2 linked regions of the Cricetulus griseus genome follow. The protein of the gene in region 1 binds, or shares a complex with, the protein of each later gene. Links are inferred from orthologs where the notes say so. Each region holds a gene or a part of one and is shown in the gene's direction. Other genes may lie near its edges.

What was found.
Region 2: Eif3i (region 1) and Eif3f share a complex: the UniProt entries of both Homo sapiens proteins name them as parts of the eukaryotic translation initiation factor 3 (eIF-3) complex. The link is inferred for Cricetulus griseus from reciprocal best matches to the Homo sapiens genes EIF3I and EIF3F.

The regions. Positions count from the first base shown.
Region 1 is NC_048595.1:23,434,139-23,438,443, forward strand, and holds the start of Eif3i (eukaryotic translation initiation factor 3 subunit I), read left to right. Parts: upstream 1-1,236; 5' UTR 1,237-1,355; coding exon 1,356-1,358; intron 1,359-1,450; coding exon 1,451-1,543; intron 1,544-3,500; coding exon 3,501-3,588; intron 3,589-4,305. Other genes in the region: Tmem234 (transmembrane protein 234), read right to left, coding at 243-309, 886-1,037, 1,221-1,236. UniProt on the Homo sapiens protein: Component of the eukaryotic translation initiation factor 3 (eIF-3) complex, which is required for several steps in the initiation of protein synthesis.
Region 2 is NC_048596.1:91,829,420-91,833,843, reverse strand, and holds the start of Eif3f (eukaryotic translation initiation factor 3 subunit F), read left to right. Parts: upstream 1-1,500; 5' UTR 1,501-1,528; coding exon 1,529-1,907; intron 1,908-4,424. UniProt on the Homo sapiens protein: Component of the eukaryotic translation initiation factor 3 (eIF-3) complex, which is required for several steps in the initiation of protein synthesis.

The DNA.
Region 1 (4,305 bases):
ACACACACACACACACAAACACACCCCCCAACATAAATAAAACAAGTCAGCACTTATGGCAAAATGAACTTTCCCTGTTCTGCTACTGCACGAGGCTGTCAGACCAGCCCTAGTGTCTGGCCACACACTCATAACCACCCTACTACCCGTGAGCCCAAGGGCCCAAACAGGTATTCTCCCTCACTGACAGGTGTAAGGTTGGCAAAATACGGACCCAGAGGAGGTCCAAGCCAGAGGCCCACCTGTTGATGCCAAGGTCAAGTAGTAGACAAGGGAGCCACTTTGGTTGAGGAGAAAGGGCATCAGGTACTGGAAAGAGGAGAAATCTGTCAGCAATTTCCTGCTCACCCAACAGTCTTATCTGACCTTCTAACACAGTCGTTCTCAGCTTTCCCAATCCTGGGACCTTTAATACAATTCCTCATGTCCTGGTGACCCCCACCCCCAACCATTTCATTGCTACGTATACTACTTCATAGTAGTAAGTACAGTTTTGCCCCTGGAACTGGAATTACAGACATCTGTGCTCTGCCTTGAGGGTGCTGGGAATTGATCCCAGGTCCTCTGGAAGAACAGCCAGTGCTCTTAACCGCTGAGCCATCTCTCCAGCCCCTTGCTTTGTTTTTCGAGACAGGGTCTCTGTGTAGCCTCGGCTGTCTGGGAATTGCTCTGTAGAAGGCTGGCCACGAACTCACAGAGGTCGCCTTTCTTTGCCTCCTGGGTGTTGGGATTCAAAGCGTGTGCCACCACCGCCCGTTCCCTCACTTAGGTTATCATATAGTTTCCATTTTAGCAAGGATAATGCCGAAGCTGCGAACGAGTAGGAGGTGGGCTGGGGTTCTGGCTCTGCGGCTCGTCCGAGGGAGCAGCAGTCCACAGACCCACCTCGGTATTCAAGAAGAGAGTCTTCATCTCCTGCAACAGCTGCCGGGCCCACGTCTGCTCCCGCACTTGCTGCAGGCCGGCGGAGGCCCGCTTCAAGAGCGGCTGCGTGCCACCCCACAGGGCGGCCACCAGCACCAGAGCAAGGACCTGCCCTGAAAGCAGAGGAGCAGAGTCACCCAGGCGCTCCCCGGCCTCCTCCGGCCCGGCGGACCGTCTCCATCTCCCTCCCGCACCGAAGGGGGCCGAGCAGGCCCGGGGCTCAGGGGTGCCGGTGGAGTGAGCGAGCACCCCCAGCCGGAGTCGGTGCCCACGGAGGGGCGGGGCCGGTTACCCACCCAGAGACGCCGCCATGGCAACGCGAGGACCTTCTACTTCCGGGATCCAGGGGGCGGAGTCCCAGCATCCGGAAGTTGCCCCTAGTCCTCTTCCGGTCCCACTCACATTGCCTCTCTGCTCGCGTCACCGCCGGGATGGTGAGTTCCATGCATGTGGTGCTGCCGTCTTGGGGTCCCAATCGGCATGGGACGGGGTTCCCGGCACTGACACTCCCGTTCTGTCCCCACAGAAGCCTATCCTGCTGCAGGGCCATGAGCGGTCCATCACGCAGATCAAGTACAACCGCGAAGGAGACCTCCTCTTCACCGTGGCCAAAGACCCTGTGAGCGGCCGCGCGACCCGGGGCCGGCGGGCGGGCGGGGCGGGGTGGGGCACCCGGAGGGGCGAGTTTGCACCATCCAGACAGTGGGTGCACCAGCTTTACCGCCGGAGGGGAATTAATTCCTCTGAAAAGCAGAGAAAACCACACTTGCCGGGCCGGGTAGGGTAGCGAAACGGATTCTGCTTGAGAGACCTAAGATAAGTTGATGGTTGATAGGAAAGCGTACCCACGGAGAAGAAAAATAAAACTGTGTGGTAGGGAGACTGGGGACTGGGAGAGGATGTGCTCTAATGACTCGAGGATGTGAAGAACCAGAACGGACAACCTCTAGAGTCTGGAGGATAAAGTTGACCCATGTGTCATGATGGGGGTCTTGGGGTTGTAGCCCTGGGTTGGATCCCCAGCACCAAAAAAGGAGGAAAAGGCCTGTTCCTAGGCTTGTCTATTCAGTCCCATGTTGAATCTCCGGGCAGCACTCTTTGGTACTGCCTTTTGAGGCATTTGCACATGGAGACAGTTAACTGATGGTTAACATTGGGTAGTCTGAAGTCAGAGTTTTATGTGAGTCCTAACTCCTGCACCTGCCAGCAGTGAGACATTGAACAAGACATTTAGCCTTTCTAAGTTACTATTTTCCCTTTTAATAAAACAGGGAACTTTACCTCCCTCAACAAATTGAGGTCATTCTTGTAAATAGGTTTTCACTGTACCTGGTGTATGTTAGTCACTTACATTTTATGTTTCTTAGCCATTTTTATTGGAGCTTCACAGCTGCCCTTTAAAGAAAGCTGTTGTCAAGGATGGGGTATCTTTCTGAGCTGGTCTGTGCCTCTCCATCCTCCTGTGTCAGCCTCCCAGTCCTAGGAATATAGGTGTGTGTTACCACACACACAAACACACACACAGCTTGTCTTTTTTTGTTGTTGTTGTTTTTGTTTTTTTTTTTTTTTTGTTTTTGAGACAGGGTTTCTTTTTTTGTTTGTTTTTTGTTTTTTTGTTTGTTTTATTTTCGAGACAGGGTTTCTCTGTGGCTTTGGAGGCTGTCCTGGAACTAGCTCTTGTAGACCAGGCTGGTCTCGAACTCACAGAAATCCACCTGCCTTTACCTCCCGAGTGCTGGGATTAAAGGCGTGTGCCACCAACGCCTGGCCACATGGCTTGTCTTTACCCTTTAAAATATGTATATTTATGTGTAAAGAGTTTGTTTATTTTATGAGTATGGGTGTTTTCCCTGCAGTTTATATTTGCAGTGTATATGCTCCTGCCTGAGAAGGCCAGACGAGAGCATCAGATCCCTGGTACTGGAGTTACAGATGGCTGTGAACTGTCGTCTGGGTGCTGGGAATCAAACCCAAGTCATCAGGACGAGCCAGCTCTCTAGCCCTTTTAAAGATGACAAAGTTAGCTGAGCAGTGGTGGCACACGCCTTTAATCCCAACACGTGGCAGCAGAGGCAGGTGGGTCTATGAGGACAGCCTTGTCTACAGAGTGAGTTCCAGGACAGCTAGGGCTACATAGGATTCAAACAAACAAACCAACAGAAAAAGACAAAGCTAAAAGTTCAGAGGGAAGAAGCACTGAATTTAAAATCATAGTAAGTGACAAAGGAGCACTAGAGCCCATACATCCTCACTGTCATCTGTCCCGATTGTTCAGGACACCAAAGTTTTTTTCTTTTTTTTTTAGACTAGAACTCATCTTGGCCTTTGATTGTTCAGAGAGATGATGAGTCCAGACAGAAGTAGATAGTGAGGATGCTATTGCAGGCCTAGTGTCAATACTGCTTCCCTTTAGGAAGAGAGGAAAACCAGGAGCTGGTCTTCTTTTATCAGCTCTCCTCTAATAAGTGAGCAGAAGGCAGACTTGGCTTGGCTGGAGTCTACAGAGGATTCGTAGGACCAGATAAGCTATTGCCTTTTCTGGGGTGTGACCCATCCTGTTCATTTTACTCTTCCAGACCGTCAATGTGTGGTACTCTGTGAATGGCGAGAGGCTGGGCACCTACATTGGCCATGGTGGAGCTGTGTGGTGTGTTGATGCTGACTGTATCCTTTTTGCTGTGGGTCGGCCAGCCTTCGAGATGCTGACCGTGAGGTTGACATGTTTTGGTGCTCTGGAGAGTAAGGTTCCCTACTCCCAGGTAACTCATTAGTTGGGGAAACGGGACACATTTTAAGTTCTGGATTGAAGGTCAGGACACTCTGAGGTAAGAGAGAGATGAAGGCCCTTTGGGCTGAACTGGGAGATGCTTTAGATGGCTTCCAGGAGAACATGGGCTTAGTCATTTTGTGTGTGCGCGTGCATGCATGTAATGAATCTGTATTGTATACTGGCCCAATGTCAGCGTCAGGTATCTTCTTCAATCACTCTTTAAACTCTCTTATTTATTTGTTTGTTTTTTCAAGACAGGATTTCTCTGTATTGCTTTGGATTCTGTCCTGGAACTCGCTCTGGAGACCAGGCTGGCCTCAAACTCACAGAGATCACCTGTCTCTCTGCCTCCTGAGTGCTGGGACTAAAGGCGTGTGTCCCCACTGCCCAGCTCCTTCTTTTGAAAAGCTTTAGTCTTACTTATATGAGTATTTTTCCTGTGTGTGTGTGTCTGTGCTCCATCTGTGCAGCATATCTGCCACCATGTAGGTGCTGAGGCTCTAACCTAGGTCCTCTAAAAGAGTAGCAAGTACACAAGTGATCTTAACTCCTGAGCCATTTTTTTCTGGTCCCTCCAACCCCACCACCCTGGGATCTCACTGTGTAGTCCT
Region 2 (4,424 bases), on another chromosome or scaffold:
ATGTAAAACAATCTTGTTTCTAATTCAAATTAAAAAACAGGAATAAAAAGAAGAGTTTCCTCTTACTGTGTATATAGACCACAGTTTCCCTCACTGTGCATCCTAGAATTTTTCTTAAAGATTTATTTATTTATTATGTATACGGTGTTCTGCCTGCAGGCCAGAAGAGGGCCCCAGATTTCATTATAAATGGTTGTGAGCCACCATGTGTTTGCTGGGAATTGAACTCAGGACCTCTGGAAGAATAGCCAGTGCTCTTAACTTCTGAGGTATCTCTCCAGCCCCTAGAAATATATATATGCAGAAAGAAGATTGGGTGAGGAAAAAGACAAACAGGAAGAATAATTGGGGGGAGGAGTAAAGGGAGGGAATAGGTGGAAGTAAATACTGTCCAAGTATGAAGAATTTATGCCAATAAGAAAAGACCTTAAAGGGGCTGGAGAGATGGCTCAGTGGGTAAGAACACATGTCGTGCAAGCATAAGGACCTCAGGTAGAATCCCCAGCACCCACATAAAAAGCCAGGTGTGGTAACACTGGAGCCTGTAACCCCAGCATTGTGGGCAGTGAAACAGAAGGATCACTAGGGCTTGCTAGGGTTACCAGCCTAGCTCCAGGTTCAGTGAGGGATGAGGTCTCAAGGGAATAGTGATAGAGTGATAGAGCAGGACATCCAATGCCTGGCCGTCATATGCACTCATGAGTATACACACACACACACACACACACACACACACACACACACACACACCCTGACTTCAAAAATAAGCAAAGGAAGGAAATAAAGAGGGAGGGTCGGAGGGATGGAGGGAGAGGAGAGAAGGAAAGAAAAAGGAAAGAGAGAGAGAGAGAGAGAGGGAGGGAGGGAAGGTGGCAGGGAGGGAGGGAGGGAGGAGGGAAGGGGGAGAGGAAGGAGGAGGCAGGGAGGGAGGAGGGGGGAGGGAGAGAGGCCCTTTAAAAGCCCCTTTGACATTTAATATCCAATTTAAGTCTAAAAAAAGAATTGCGGGGGGCGGGGGGGGGCGGCTGGAGAGATGGCTTGGAGCACTGACTGCTCTTCCAGAGGTCCTGAGTTCAATTCCCAGCAACCACATGGTGGCTCACAACCATCTGTAATGAGATCTAGTGCCCTCTTCTGGCATGCAGCCATATATGGAGGCAGAATGTTGTATACATAATAAATAAATCTTTAAAAAAAAAAAAAAATGCGACCTTTACACTATTCTGTGCCGCCATCTGGTGGCAACTGAGTAGATTGCTATTTGTTTCTCTCTGCCCACCCCCACCCCACCCCACCCCACCCTCAGGCGGTCCCAGAGTCACTAGGAACTACTTTGGCCTGCTCCTCACTGAGTGCGCATGGACGGCCATTAAAACGCACACGGCTCACTAAAACTTACAACCAGCCGGAAATGTTAGTGCCCAATAGTCAGCAAGAGCTGATTCACGTGGTACAAATTCAACCAACCAAGTTCCTAATACTTCCTAACTCACGCCCTTCCGTTCTAGGTTCCCTCTTTCTCGGCAACATGGCATCCCCGGCCGTACCGGCAAGTGTCCCTCCCGCCGCTGTGACCGCGGCCCCGGCGCCGGCCACCAACGCAGCCCCGGCTTCAGCCCCGGCAGCGCCCACGCCAGCTCCGGCGCCGGCTGCGACTCCCGCTGCGGCCCCGGCGCCCGCCTCGTCCTCCGACCCTGCGGCAGCTACGCCTGCCGCTGCGGGCCAGACCCCGGCCTCTGCCCCAGCCCCTGCGCAGACGCCGGCACCCTCGCAGCCCGGGCCCGCCCTGCCGGGGCCTTTCCCCGGCGGCCGCGTGGTCAGGCTGCACCCGGTCATTTTGGCTTCCATCGTAGACAGCTACGAGAGACGCAACGAGGGAGCTGCCCGGGTTATCGGAACCCTGCTGGGTGAGTGCTGGAGAAATGAGTGTTTTCTTCTCGTCATCTCCCTCCTGTTTTCACTATTTCCTCTCGCTACATCACCACTGAAGTCTTAACCTGTTGCTCTTTTGCATCTTCTCGATGTGGCTTGCCTTCCCAAGTGTCTTGAATCCTGCCGAATCGCTGTTGAGCGACAGAAATGTCCAAAGAGTAGGTATGAGCTATTGAGTAGTTTGTGGTAGTTGATCTACATGTTATTTTATACTCCTACCAGCGAAGTACGGAGAGTGCATGTTCCCAAAAAATGAGTTCAAAAGCCAGCAAGAAGTGCAAAGCTCTTGACTCTTGTAAGCACAGTATCCACATTTACCCTCATATCCACTGACTAACCAACACACAAACACGTACCCACCACCCTTGTAAGGGAAGAGGATATGTCAAAGCTTCCCCCAATTGAACAAGTAAACCAGGTTTGTTCAGAACCTATTCCGGATATTTAATACTTTCTTTTAATCCCGAACTTTTAAGACAGATGCTCAGTGGCAAGAACCTCTTTGATACTAGTTTCTTGTGGAATGAAACCTGTATATGCTCGGGTTCAAGTATCTACCCCACTTCACTCTTACTTTTCCATTTGCATGCAAGCAATGGTATTACCTGTTTACAAGCAACCTTAAAATGAAGAGTAATCTTTCCTTTGCCTGTGTTACAGATAGTTTATGTTAAGGTGGTTTGTAAAACTGAAAGGCACTGAAGATTGTTGAATACATTTCTGTCTCTGGGGACTGCTGGTCCTGTCAGACTTGCTTGCACTCTGCCTTAGTGACAGCTTTTAAACACTGGCCTTCCACACCATTTCTTACTGGTGATCTTGGAGCAGTTTTCGTACCATGGAAGACCATTCGAGTGCTGCAAAGAGAACAGGATATATAGTCAGACTTCAGCAATTATTAGCTGTCTTGGGACAAATCACCAAAGATCTAGTTCTTTTGGGGACTTTAGCAGACAGTTTTTGTGTGAATGAAATTATTACAGAAAGCAGCTAATGGCTGACACACCTCAGGTACAGCAGCTCTCAGTCACCATATACTAGATATGAAAACCATACCACCCCACCATAAATTTCTTAGGCAGTATAGCACTTTACAAAGACTTAGGAGTTGCTACATTGTTGTTCATCAAAACACACTGGCATTTTCTCCTCCACAAGTCTCTTCCCTGCTCTCCACCATTTTATTTCAGTTCTACAACTGTAATCCTAACTTCCCTCTATTTTTAACCTCTCAGTGTGTTAACATTCTGTAACTGCCCTACTGTGAACTTCTATAACAAACAAAAAATGTTTGTATCAGTGACTTGCCACTTAACAAATACTTGGGGTATACTATCTAATTTCCAGTCTCTGGAGCTGTTTAACTAGAGGAATAAATGTCTATCAAGGTTTATGTTTCACCCCATATATCATAGGAAGGCAGCTGTAATCTGTGGATTCTCTTGTCAGACTGGATCCTGCTCAGTGCTCCCACTGCTACAGAACAGTTGAGTTGTTGATGGAAAAACAAATGAAGCAATGTGTGCTTGGTAGGAACTTGGACTTTTCTTAGGTTGACAGTAATTTGTAAAAGATTTTTGCCTGGCTAAATGAAATCATTAGTGATTTTCATGTACCATAAAACCATTAGGTACTTCGAATTCAAAATTAGTCAAAGGAACACTGTTGTAACCTTAAACTCAAGATGGAAACAGAGTCCCTGAAACGGAGATGTGATGACTGTTCTGCTAGCAGGGTGTCCTATGGAAACACAGAGGCGTAACTATTTGAAAAGGTTATGGAGGAGTCCCAGAAAAGCTGTGGAAGGCCCTGTTAAGGTGTAACACATCTTCCATGTGAAATGAGCCCTTAGGTGGACAGTGTCCACGTGTGCTTCCCAAAGGATTCGGACCTGAGTTTCTAATTTTATGTTTCACTGTAAGACCTGATTTCTAAATTGTTTTCAGTGAATATACCTATAAGTTATAGTTCTTTGTAAGCACTGCTAAACTCAGCGTCCTTTATCCTTTAAACAGAACTTCAGCTACTCAGATTATAGAGCATAAAGTTATGTTCTAAATACCATAATTTTGACATTTCTGAGCCTACTTGGGAATACTAACCTTTTATCCCTGAATCTCAAAAAGATAACGTGCCAGGAATTTGAAAACTGAAAAACTTGTTTTCAGTTTATGTAATAGTTCTAAAATGTACCACTGTTGAGAAATTTTAAATTTAAAAATGAAACAAAATTTTAAAGAGAAAGCTCTGGGCAAGTCCCAGCTTATGAGAGGGCGGCAGGAGGAGAAGCCCTCTGTGGTTCTGGACACCTGCCTCTGGGGCAGGAGTCACAGAGTTGAGACAGCGGAAGTCTCGTCTTCCCAGGAGGCTCTTGAGCTCTTTCCAAAGCTGGGAGACCAGAGCACTGGCTGCTTTGTACAGATTAGTAGACCTGAGCTGGGCCTGGATGACAGCTGGAGGGCATTCTAGTAAAGTAAAAGCATTTGAGAAGT